Oryctolagus cuniculus: one gene and its partner. The protein of the gene in region 1 interacts with the protein of each later gene in a pairwise test. Links are inferred from orthologs where the notes say so. Each region holds a gene or a part of one and is shown on either strand. Other genes may lie near its edges.

Region 1 (5,874 bases):
TAAAGGGCCCTCAGAAAGGCAAGACCTTAACGTGGAACATAGGCTAGTCCCAGGAATGCCCCTCAGCCTCCAGTGAATAAGGGAACAAAGGACAGCCACAGCAGGAGAGCTGGCCTTAGAGGGTCCTGTGGCAGGTCCTTGGCAGTGCCATTCACCAGGACTCACTGAGATGAGGTAAACTAAACATTGCTCAAAGAGGTTTGTACAAAAAAGGCTATGCTACACCCTTCAATTGCCACCACATGCTTTTTCTTAAATGCCAGGTGATTTCCAGTACCCGGTCCCCACCCAAAGAGGGTGCAGGAATCTGTTTCCTGTACAATCAATTTACAGAGGTTCTGCAGTTCACCGGTTCGGTACTCCCTAAGTATTCCAGATACTCCGACACCTGTGGTTCTTCAATTGCTGCTTCATCAAAAGAACACTGGCTTGCCTGTCCCTCCATCTCGTGTGTGTGTGTGTGTGTGTGTGTGTGAGAGAGAGAGAGAGAGAGAGACGACTCAATTCCACGTAACTAACAGTGAAACAATAGCCTCTGAGTTCAGCGGTTTCCCCAGAGAGGTTAAAGCGGCTACATCGGAACATTCCCTCCGTGTCCTGATCTCCAAGTTTTTTTTTGTCCTCTAGACAAAAGGCTTCCCCAGCTCCAAGTCCAATCCCACGAATTCCTCTGGAAAACAGGACCTGAGACATTTCCCGAACAATGCACTGGAACCCTGCACTATGCATCGCTAAAATTAACACATACATTCGGTCATTTGAGTTGTATAATTGCCTTTCACTTGAACTCACGAGTCAAAGTGGAGTTTTTAAGCAGCGCCTAATTAATTCTTTCATTGGCTCCCACGTCACCTATAACGACTTCCACCCGCAGAAAAACTGGTGAGCACTGAATTCGGTTGTGCAACTACGGACTCGAGTTTCCTCTTTCACCCAGAACTTCGAGATCCTGTTCAGAGTCGGGTGTGGCCTCACAGTAGGGGCGGGGGGAGGAAGGGGGCGGACGAAAGGAGCCCGGGCGGGCGAGGGCGGCAGGGAACCGTGCAAAGCCAGGTCTTCAACCAGCGCCTTCAAGAGCGCCCAGACCCATGCCTGGTGACGCTCCAAGGGCTGCAGAAGTTTCTCACGAGCGAGAAGTTCGCAGCCTGGGAGCAAAGCCAGACTTCGGCGAGTTCTGAAAAACTTAGGGGCGCTCTTGTGCCCCCAGCCCGGGCCGCACACATCAAAGCGGAGGCCCAGCTCCAAATCAGTGGAGATTGGAGCGATAAGTGCGCGCGGGGCCCGCGGAAACTTGAGTCAAGCTCGTCTAACGGTTTCCCCTGAACCGCTAGGTGCCCTACCCCTCGGCGGGGTGCTGTGAGTCACCGCCCGTGACTCAGCGACCCCACCCTTCTCCCCTGGGCTTCCCTCGGCCGCCGCCTCGCAGCTCGGCCGTCCCAAGCTGGACTGAGCCCCTGAGTCCCTGGACGAGACCGGGCCGGAGCCCCCTAAAGAGGACACACTGAGAAGCGTCGCGCGCAGAGGAGCCCGCCCTTGCAAACAGGCGGTGCCCGAGGCTGCGCGAAGCCCCGCGCTGCGTCTCTGGCTGTGTGCGCCCCCACCCCGCGCTCCAATCTCGGGCGCTCTTTGTCTCTTTCTCCTCCGCGCCTGGCGATCTGCTGGATCCCTTACTCCCCCTGTTCATGCCCCTTGCCCGCAGGTCTCCCCATCCAGAGGCTCCCAAACCGCAGCAATCCAGGCGCCACGCACCGCTCCCGCCCGCGCGCCTCCTCCCACGCCCCCTGGGCCGGGTGCCCGGGACCCTTTTGGTCCAGATCCAAGCGGATCCCCACACCCACCACGGCGCAACCCCGCCTTCATTAACATCCTGGGATGAAAAAGAGTTCCGGCCATCCTGAGGAAAGCCCCAGAAAGTCTCAGCGTAGCCCAGCCCAGCCCACGAAGTAACGGGACGTGGCCCAGGCCAGAGCCTCAGACTGGGAAGGCTCCAGGGCGCCCCCGCCCCAAGCCCCGGCCCACCCTTCCCACTTCTCGCCGGGTCCCCATTGGCTGGCGCTCACGGCGGCTAGGATGGCAGTGGGAGGGGACCCTCTTTCCTAACCGGGTTATAAAAACAGCGCCCTCGACGGGGTCCCGTCCTCTGCCACTCTCGCTCCGAGGTCCCCGCGCCAGAGACGCAGCAGCGCTTCCACCGCCCACACCCACCGCGCCCTCGCTCTCTTCTCGGAGCCCGTCCGCGCCGCCGCAGCCGCCCAGCCCACCACCGCCCTTTGCAGCCATGTCCACTAGGTCCGTGTCCTCGTCCTCCTACCGCAGGATGTTCGGCGGCCCGGGCACCGCCAGCCGGCCGAGCTCCAGCCGGAGCTACGTGACCACGTCCACCCGCACCTACAGCCTGGGCAGCGCGCTGCGCCCCACCAACAGCCGCAGCCTCTTCTCCTCGGGGTCGGGGACCGCGTACGTCACGCGCTCCTCGGCGGGGCGCCTGCGGAGCAGTGTGCCCGGCGTGCGGCTGCTGCAGGACTCGGTGGATTTCTCCCTGGCCGACGCCATCAACACCGAGTTCAGGAACACCCGCACCAACGAGAAGGTGGAGCTGCAGGAGCTGAATGACCGCTTCGCCAACTACATCGACAAGGTGCGCTTCCTGGAACAGCAGAACAAGATCCTTCTGGCCGAGCTCGAGCAACTCAAGGGCCAGGGCAAGTCCCGCCTGGGGGACCTCTACGAGGAGGAGATGCGGGAGCTGCGCCGGCAGGTGGACCAGCTCACCAACGACAAGGCCCGCGTCGAGGTGGAGCGCGACAACCTGGCCGAAGACATCATGCGGCTCCGGGAGAAGTAAGGCTTGCGGGGCCCCGGGAGGGAGCTGGGACCGGGCCCCCCCGAGAGGGCTGCCACGCCCTTGGGGCGTTGGCCGGGGCGGCTGCAGCCTAGGGGACTGCAGGGGCGCGGCAATGTGGCTGCGGCGGCGCAGCCCCGCCCTGAACCCGAGCCGTGCGGTTAGCATTTCCCTTACCCATAACCCAAGTAGGTCCGTTTCAAGTTAAGAGATTTCTTAAAACGACCGCTTTGTGCGTGCTCGAAGGCCCTTGGGCACGACCGAAGCGACGGGCCCAAACTTTCAGAAAGTTTCCCGGCCCCTGCTGGCACGCTGCCAGTCCCCAGGCGGGAGGAGGAGGGGGAGGCTGCGGAGGAAGCAAGACAAAGGGATGGCCGAGGGTCCCCAGGGGCGGGGCGGCGGCTGCCACTGGCATCGCCTTTCCACGCCGGGCCGCCCCAGGTCCCGCGAAAACCCGCCGGGGAGAGTGGTGCCGAAGGCTGCGGTCGCTCGTCTGCTGCCCGCTGGGGTGGCGCCGTGGCTCGTGGCTCGCGGCTCGCGGCTCGGGACTCGCGACTCGCGGTCGGGCGACGTGGTGGCTGGGTGTGGCCGCCCCGCCCCCGGCGGTTTCCCGGTTCCTCTTTGGCTGACGAGCAATTGTTTTCAGGTTGCAGGAGGAGATGCTGCAGAGAGAGGAAGCCGAGAGCACCCTGCAGTCTTTCAGACAGGTTTGTGGACTCCCTCCCCCCCCCCCCCCAAGGCGGCCTCAGGGCCACACCCAGCCACCCCGCCGGCCCGCTCTCAAAGTTTCTAACTTTTCAGTCTATAAGCGCAAAACTTCACATCTGTGCGCAAAGCCCCCTAGCGGCGGCAAGACCACGGCTTAGAGCCTCTCAGTAAAAAAAACCCTTGAATGATTTCCTTAGTTGCTTAGGACATAAAGTCTTTTATACTTTTTTGTTTTGTTTTGTTTCAACAGTTATTTTCCCCCCAAGACATATTTTTTCATATCATTTTTGCAACACATTAACATTCGGATTGCGAACAGTTACAGTTTGGCTTAGATTCTGGTTTGCTAAAGCCAAGCTGGTTGACTTTTTACAAGGCCACAAAAAGCGCAGTTAGGCCCTGTGGCTTCCAATGTAAAATGTGTTGGAGGATGAGACGCTGGCATGCAGCCAGTAGGCTGCTTCCCTGCTCTGCAAGTCTATTGTGGCGTTCAAGTTAGGTGGAAGTTATCACTAGGCACAGCCATCTGCGCGCTCAGCTGAAGGGTGTTAGTGGTTCCCATGGGCTTCACCAGGAATGTAGATACAGACGTGCTGGCAAATGTGGTGGCCCTAGACAGACATAATAGGAGTCTTTGTGTTCCCAGAACAGCTTTGCTGCAGGCTACATTCTCATTGAGAATGTAGTGATGTAAGCACAGTTCTCATTGGACAGAAGTATTTGCCAACATCAGCTACCTACTCTCTGGCCCAGACTTGGGAAGGCTGCGATGTGAAACCTTGCACACGCTACAGTCATTCTTTGTGTTTTGAAAGACCTGTATGGGGGTCTTTGACACTATCTCCATCAACAAAAATAACTGCAGAGTGTTTTTTTTTTTTTTTTTTTTTGGCTCTAAAGTTAGATGGACTTAAAGGAATTTTAACTTACAATTGGAATCCTAAAACAGGAAGATCCCCATCATGGCTTGGTTCTCTGGAACATTCACTGGGGTTGGCTACCAAACACACTCAGGTGAACAGTCTAGGATAACATTTTGAAGATTTGCCTCATTAATCGAAACACAGCAATGTGTGGTTGCTGCCTCTGATCACTGTTCCTGATTTTTACCCCCATAACATGATATAATAGATCCCCCGTTGAGGAAAAAAATAAGGGAAAAAATCCTCATTCTCTTCAATGATATAAGAAGTAAAATATCTATATTTTCCTGTGCTTAACAAGAAGCAAAAACACTAATTTTTTCCAAGTTGGGTCTTTTTATTATCACTCACTCCTTATTCACTTTTGCATGATGGTTTTAGAAGTGTCTCAACATTTTAAGACTAGAAAACTGTAAACTGGACCCCAAATGTAGTTGCTTATAAGAGAAGGGGTATAAGGACCTAACTTAGCACATTCCCTTGAGTGGAAATGAAATCCTAACTGCAAGATCACACATTTTTAATTGGAATGTAGAAGGAGAGCAAGAGCTGCAAAGATTCTTACATGCAAGCATTTGACCATTCTGAAACAGGTTAAGGAACTGAATCAACACCGGGCAAGTACAAAGACGGACACGCCCTTAAAGGACAAGTCAGGGAGTTTCAGAATAGTCCACCAGAGAAAGCAAAGCGAATATAGTTCAAATTTCTATTCCTTAATTGCCTAAACTGCACCTTTGTGAAGGCACACCCTGAATTCAGCATTGGGTGGCTACTTGGTATAAATCTAGCCTTGCAATTAACCATGTAGTTGCTTTGAAGAAAGAAAAAGAACTTACAGATATGCCAAAACTTTTTAAAAATTAATTAATTTGAGAGACAGGGAGGGAGAGGGAGAGAATTCCCATCCCTTAGTTCACTCCCCAAATCCCCTGAATGGCCAGGGCTGGCCCTGGCTGACGCTGGGAGCTGGGAACTCATTTCAGGGTTTCCACACGAGCAGCAGGAACCCACTTATTCTGCACCATTACTGCTGCCTCCCATTAGCAGCAAACTGGAGTCAAGAGCCAGTGGCGAGTGTTCAGCCCAGCGAGTTTTCAGCCCAGCCACTCTGATATGGGACACGGGACACAGGGCGGGCAGAGTGGACAGTGAGAGAGAGAGAGAAAGAGTCAGAGAGAAAGGTCTTCCTTTTGCCATTGGTTCATCCTCCAATGGCCGCCGCCGCCGGCGCCGGCGCATCGTGCTGATCCGATGGCAGGAGCCAGGTGCTTTTCCTGGTCTCCCATGCGGGTGCAGGGCCCAAGCACTTAGGCCATCCTCCACTGCATTCCCTGGTCCCAGCAGAGAGCTGGCCTGGAAGAGGAGCAACAGGGACAGAATCTGGCGCCCCCAACCGGG
Region 2 (5,534 bases), on another chromosome or scaffold:
CGCTTCTGGGCCGACCCTGCCCAGCACCCCACTTTGGGCGGGCAGTTCGTGTGGGACACTGGGGTACTCACGGCGCTAGCCTGAGGTTACGCTGCTGATCCTGGCTGGGCCTCCAGGCTGTGGACGGAGGCCTGGGGCGCCTCTGCTGGCCTCAGGCAGCCCATGGCTCTCTCACAGGGATAGCTGTGGGCCACATCTACTACTTCCTGGAGGATGTCTTCCCTAACCAGCCAGGAGGCAAGCGGCTGCTGCTGACCCCTGGCTTCCTGTGAGTGTCCCTCCCTCCCAGGGCTGCCTACCCCACTGTGGACCTGTGCTGGCCTCAGCTCAGTGCCGGTCCTCCCTGCAGGAAGCTGCTGCTGGATACCCGTGAGGACCCCAATTACCTGCCCCTCCCTGAGGAACAGCCAGGACCCCCTGTGCCACCCCTGCAGCAGTGAGCCCACCGGCAGGCCTCCATCCCCACCCTACCCCGAGCCCCTGCTGCAGCAGGCCAGGCCTACCCAAATAAACAGAATGACCTGCAGCCTCTCGGCGCCTGGCACTGGCTCTCCCTGCCCTCCAGCCCTCTGAGCCTCACTGGAAGGGGTAGGATGCCCGTGGGGGCCCAGCAGACTGGGAGTTCTCATCCTGGCCCAGCAGTGCCTTGATGGAGCGCTGTCAAGTTCCTTCCACCCTGGACCTCTGCTCCCTGCCTGTGAGTGGGCGGCTGGGGCCAGCAGCAGGCAGGCCCCATTCAGCCTGCAGGTTGGGGCCTGCCCAGCCGTTCCCGTCCCTCATCAGCAGCCCTGACAAGTGGGTCCTTGGCACATTTCCAGCAGGTAACAGAGCCCCATGGGGTCAGGTGCAGAGGAGGGCCAGGTCTGGGTCCTCCTGTTTACGGCCTCAGGGCCTTGACCTGAAGTCCTGCACATACGACAGGAGGCAGGCAGCCCTGGCCCTGCCACGTTGGCTGAGGACTCGCTGCCGCCGCCTGCAGCTCCCTTCACCCTTCTGTTGTGTGCGCCACGCGCCCTGGCCAGCTTTCCCTGTTGCTCGAGGCTGCCCACGTCCTGGCTTACTCCTCAGCAGCACGCCTGGTATCTACATGGTAACAGGGACCTGCAGCACAGACTCTGACCTTGGTTTTGCAGTGAAACTTTGTGGAGCACCAGCTGGCCCTGCGGTGTGTGGGCTGGCGGTGCTCTGAAGGGGTGGGCCTGCCTGCCGGGCTGGCAGAGGAAGGCAGGCAGGATTCCCTCTGTCACAACGGCTGTGGGGGCACAGGGCTGCCTCCCACTCATGAACTCCCCAGCAGTGGAGCCCCTGTGTGACCGAGGCCAGCTGGGTGTGCCCCGATGTGGGACTCTGGTGAGTTCCTGTCTGATGGAGGGCAGGGGCCCAAGTACAAACTCTGGGGACCAGAATGCGCTTGGACCCGCTCCTAGGAGCCCCCAGCCCTGAGAGCCGGGCCCATCTTGCCTGCATGCTGGCCTCATCCCTACTCAGTTTTCCTGCCCTGGATGGGGCTCAGGTTGGATGCCAGGCCCCAGAGCGCCTCTGATCTTCAGCCCTGCCCTGGCGAGGGAGGACCTGTCAGCAGCCGGCAGTGGCACATAGCAGAGACCCATGCGCTGCCTCCAGATGCTTCCATCTTGCACACAAGGACACAAGGATGAGGGACCCCACTGGGGGAGAGCTAGGAGAAGACCCAGAGCTGTCTCTGCAGACAGCACATCAAGCCCAAGAGCCAGCAGCTGCCAGTCCTCCTCACTACAGACCCAGGGGAGAGGAGCCGGCCCAGGCCGCAGTGCCTGCCGGGTTGGAGAGGCCCCATCAGCCAGTTCTGGGTACACTGATGTTCCGGCAGTGCCACTCAGGTGCCCCTGGCCAGCTTCTCTTGATGGAGCAGAGACAGGGTGGCCCAGAGCTAGGAGAGCCCAAGGCTCCTTCCTAAGGCTGGCATGGGGGCGGGGTGTGGGGAGGAAGTTAGAAGGCCCAAGGAGAAGCAAGGATGGGCTCTGCCTCGGGCCACGTGGGGTGCTGAGGTGGCTTCCAGGGGAGCCCCCTAACCCCTGCTGTTCAGGTGGAATGGCCTGGCCGGCAGCCTCGGCCCTGCCCACTCTGCCCTTCTGAAGCACTGAACACCACGTGACCTGTTGCCTTTTATTTAAAAAGTGTTGCTAGCCCTGCCTGGGGCTCTCATACAAAAACAAAACACAACCTAAAACGAGGCTTCTTTCTGGCCCCAGACACTGGGGTAGGGGGCTAATGAGTGGGGAAACAGGACTGGGGCTCAGCAGATGCGAGGTATGGCTGGGAAGGGTGACCCAGGGGGTCCAGGCCCCTGCCCCATTCCTCCAGATGGCACCGGCTGTCCACTGCCCCTCTCCTGATCAGAAGAGGAAGGGGAGGGGTCCAATCTTCTGAGCTGCTTCGTGAAAGCTGAGCGCCAACAGGAGGGTCACCAGGCTGGGGCAGTGTTGGCCAGACGCCTCATCCGCCTGCGGGGGGAGGGGGGGGCAGGAGGGGAGCACGGTAAGCCAGGACCAATCCCAGCTGGCAAGGGTGGACGCCCAGCAGGACACCCCCAGCCCTCTCTGAGCCCCATGTCTCCAGGGACCCTGAGGCCTGGGTCTGACCTGAGAGTGTGGGTCACGGGGAAAGGAGACAGCCCTGCCTCCGCCTGGGAAGATGGGTGCCCCTGGGCAGGGCCGGGGCTGGTACCTCGTGTTCCTGTCCTGGTCGCGGATCTTCTTCTCCATCTCGGCGTCAGTCAAGGTCTCCAGCAGTGGGCACCACTGGTCAGCGTCGCCTGTGTTCCGGATGGCAATCTCCACTGTGGGCAGGGGGTTCTCGCTGGGGGAGGGGGGCAGTGACAGGAACAACTGCTAGTTCACAGCTGGCAGCCACAGTCCCCAGAAACCATCACCCCGCACCCCTCCAGCAGGCAGCCAGCCATGGAGGGAAGGCCTAGCTCTTCTGGCTTCAGCCTCCCCTGTGCTGGCCAGGGGATTCTGGCACAGCTGATGGGGCAGCCAGGGTAGCACCTATCCCCTGACCCTCAAGGGAGCTGCCAGAGTGGCCTGCAGCAACAGGGGCACTGGTACGGCCCTGCAGGCTTCCTTTTGGAGACCACTCTGCACACCTCAGCACCTCCCTGTCTGAGCGTGGAAGGGCTGTCCCGACACAGCAGCACAGAGCAGGGAGGTGCGGCTGCTCCACTCGGTGGCCAGGGCCAGATCCACTGACTGAGAACAGGAGGGGTGAGAGGAGGTGCTGGCCCCAGATGCCTGCTCCTGGGTATCCCACACACTTGCCCAGCAGTGCCACGGGGGCCACTCTACACCCCCAGGAAAGCTGGATCCAGAAACCACATTGCCTGGTCCCTCACAGACCGTTCCCTGGCCAAGTGCACACCCAGGGGGAAGTGCGGCTGAGCTGTCACCATTCTGGGCCTTGGTTTCTGAGAAACAGGAGGATAAGGAGGTGGACGCCACCGTGGACACTGAAGGGCCCCTGTGCCCTCTCCCCGGTGGCTCTGGTCTGAAAGGCAGAGCAGCTTCAGGTGCTAAGCACGCATCCTGGCTCGTGGTGCCTGCTTCATCAGGCGCCCCCCACCGCAGCCTCCCCTGGGCCCCTAGGAGGCTGCCCTGTAGACTGCAGCCCTACCAGGTGTCCCGTTAGCTTTGGGAGGGGCGAAGGTAGTAGGGCCCTAGGGAGAGGTCCCTGGCTGCTGCCTTGGTTTTCATCTGGGATATGGGAATAATAAGTATGGCTGCAAAGCAATGTTGGGGGTCACTATATTGACGCAGTCCACACACATCTGTTGAGGGCGCCCCCTAGAGGTGGGGCCTCGCCATACAGCCTCCCTGCAGCCTGTGCCCCAGGTCACCGCACCAGGTGGTCTATGGGCAGGGCCCGGCTCTTCACCACCTGGCCGGCAGGCACCAACACACTGGGGCCTGTTCCAGCCCAGCCAGAGAGGCTGGCCTGGTCTGTGCTGCTCTCTGTGGCCTGGGGGTGTCAGGGACAGTGAGCACAGGGCCTACTGCACATGTGTGCCTGACCGCTTCCTGCTGAAGCTCAGCCCACTGGGTCTGTGCCTAGGAGGCACAGAAGCCAGAGCTCATGCTGGTGACTCAGAGGCTGGGACGGGGCAGCGCCCACCCCTGACTCCCTTGGGGCTGACCCCTCCTCCGCAGCCTGGTTTGGCAATCCAGGAACGACCCAGCCACAAACCCCAAACATTACTCCCCACCTTGAGGGCGCCCAGCTGCCTGCCCCAGGAGGGCAGACATGAGAGGCGCCAAGCCCACGCAGAGGGGAGCAAAACATGTTTTCCTCGCAATTTACACAAGAGCTGGCGAGCAGGGCCCAGAGGCCCCTTTGTTTGCCTCCCCTTGACTCTGGGAAGATTCCACGTCAGCGGCCTGTTCTAAAATAAGAATGGCTCAAAACAACGCTCAGAACGGGCCTGCAGCCAGCACTCGCCGGCCTCAGGTTTGGGGGCCCACTCAGGCAGAGGCGCTGCCCTCATTTCCCAGTGATTCTAGGGGTGCAAGAGCACCCCTGCTGTGACTGCAGCTCACGGGCTATCTTCAGGTCACTGTCACTGTCAAGTTCATGACCTTGTGTGATGAACATGCAAGGCAAGAAGCACTAAGACTCCCCCTTAGAAATGAGAGAGCTAAGATTTCAAGGGAAGGGGCTGGCACTGTGGCATAGCAGGTAAAGCCACTGCCTGCAGCACTGGCATCCCACATAGGCGCAGGATCGAGTGCCGGCTGCTGCATTTCAAATCCAGTTCCCTGCTCATGGCCTAAGAAAGCAGGGGAGGATGGTCCAAGTCCTTGAGCCCCTGTACCCATGTGGGAGACTCAGAAGAAGCTCCTGGCTTCAGATCAGCCCAGCTCTGGCCACTGTGGCCATTTGTGGAGTGAACCAGTAGATGGCAGATCTCTCTCTAACTTTGCCTTTCAAATAAATAAATTAAAAAAAAAAATTAAAAGATTTGCAGGGAAAATGACCCGCCCAAGGCCACACAACCCAGAGGGGACAAAACACGCTGCCCCCGTTCTGTGTGGAATCAGTGCCTGCCAGTGCCAGTCTAGTGGGTGGGGAAGCAGCAGCATCTCCCATGCTGGGCTAGAAAAAATTCTGGGGGCTGGCCTTGTGGTACAGCGAGAGGTAAGACACTGCCCGCAATGCCAGCATCCCATATAGCTGTACACTTCTCATCCAGCTCCCTGCTAATGGCCTGGGAAAAGCAGCAGAAGGCGGCTCAAATGTTTGGGCCCCTGCACCCATGTGGGAAATGCAGATGAAACTCCTGACTCTGACTTCAGCCTGGTCCAGCCCTGGCATTTGCGGCCATCTGGGAAGGGAATCAGCAGATGGAAGACAGATCTCTCTATAACTCTGATTTTCAAAGTAAATAAATAAAACTTAAAAAAAAAAAATTCTGAACACAGAGTTAGCCTATGATCCAGCAATTCCACCCCTGGGCATGTATCCAAGAGAACACACACAGGTGTTCAAACAAAATCCTATAC

The links.
Region 2: the proteins of VIM (region 1) and SMARCB1 interact in binary tests that used the Homo sapiens proteins (3 or more experiments, as listed by UniProt). The link is inferred for Oryctolagus cuniculus from reciprocal best matches to the Homo sapiens genes VIM and SMARCB1.

What each region holds. Positions count from the first base shown.
Region 1 is NC_091444.1:43,368,849-43,374,722, forward strand, and holds part of VIM (vimentin), read left to right. Parts: 5' UTR 1-2,278; coding exon 2,279-2,841; intron 2,842-3,488; coding exon 3,489-3,549; intron 3,550-5,874. UniProt on the Homo sapiens protein: Vimentins are class-III intermediate filaments found in various non-epithelial cells, especially mesenchymal cells. Vimentin is attached to the nucleus, endoplasmic reticulum, and mitochondria, either laterally or terminally.
Region 2 is NC_091452.1:30,766,041-30,771,574, reverse strand, and holds the end of SMARCB1 (SWI/SNF-related matrix-associated actin-dependent regulator of chromatin subfamily B member 1), read right to left. Parts: intron 2,839-5,534; coding exon 2,707-2,838; intron 2,484-2,706; coding exon 2,444-2,483; 3' UTR 2,132-2,443; downstream 1-2,131. Other genes in the region: DERL3 (derlin-3), read left to right, coding at 178-268, 350-440.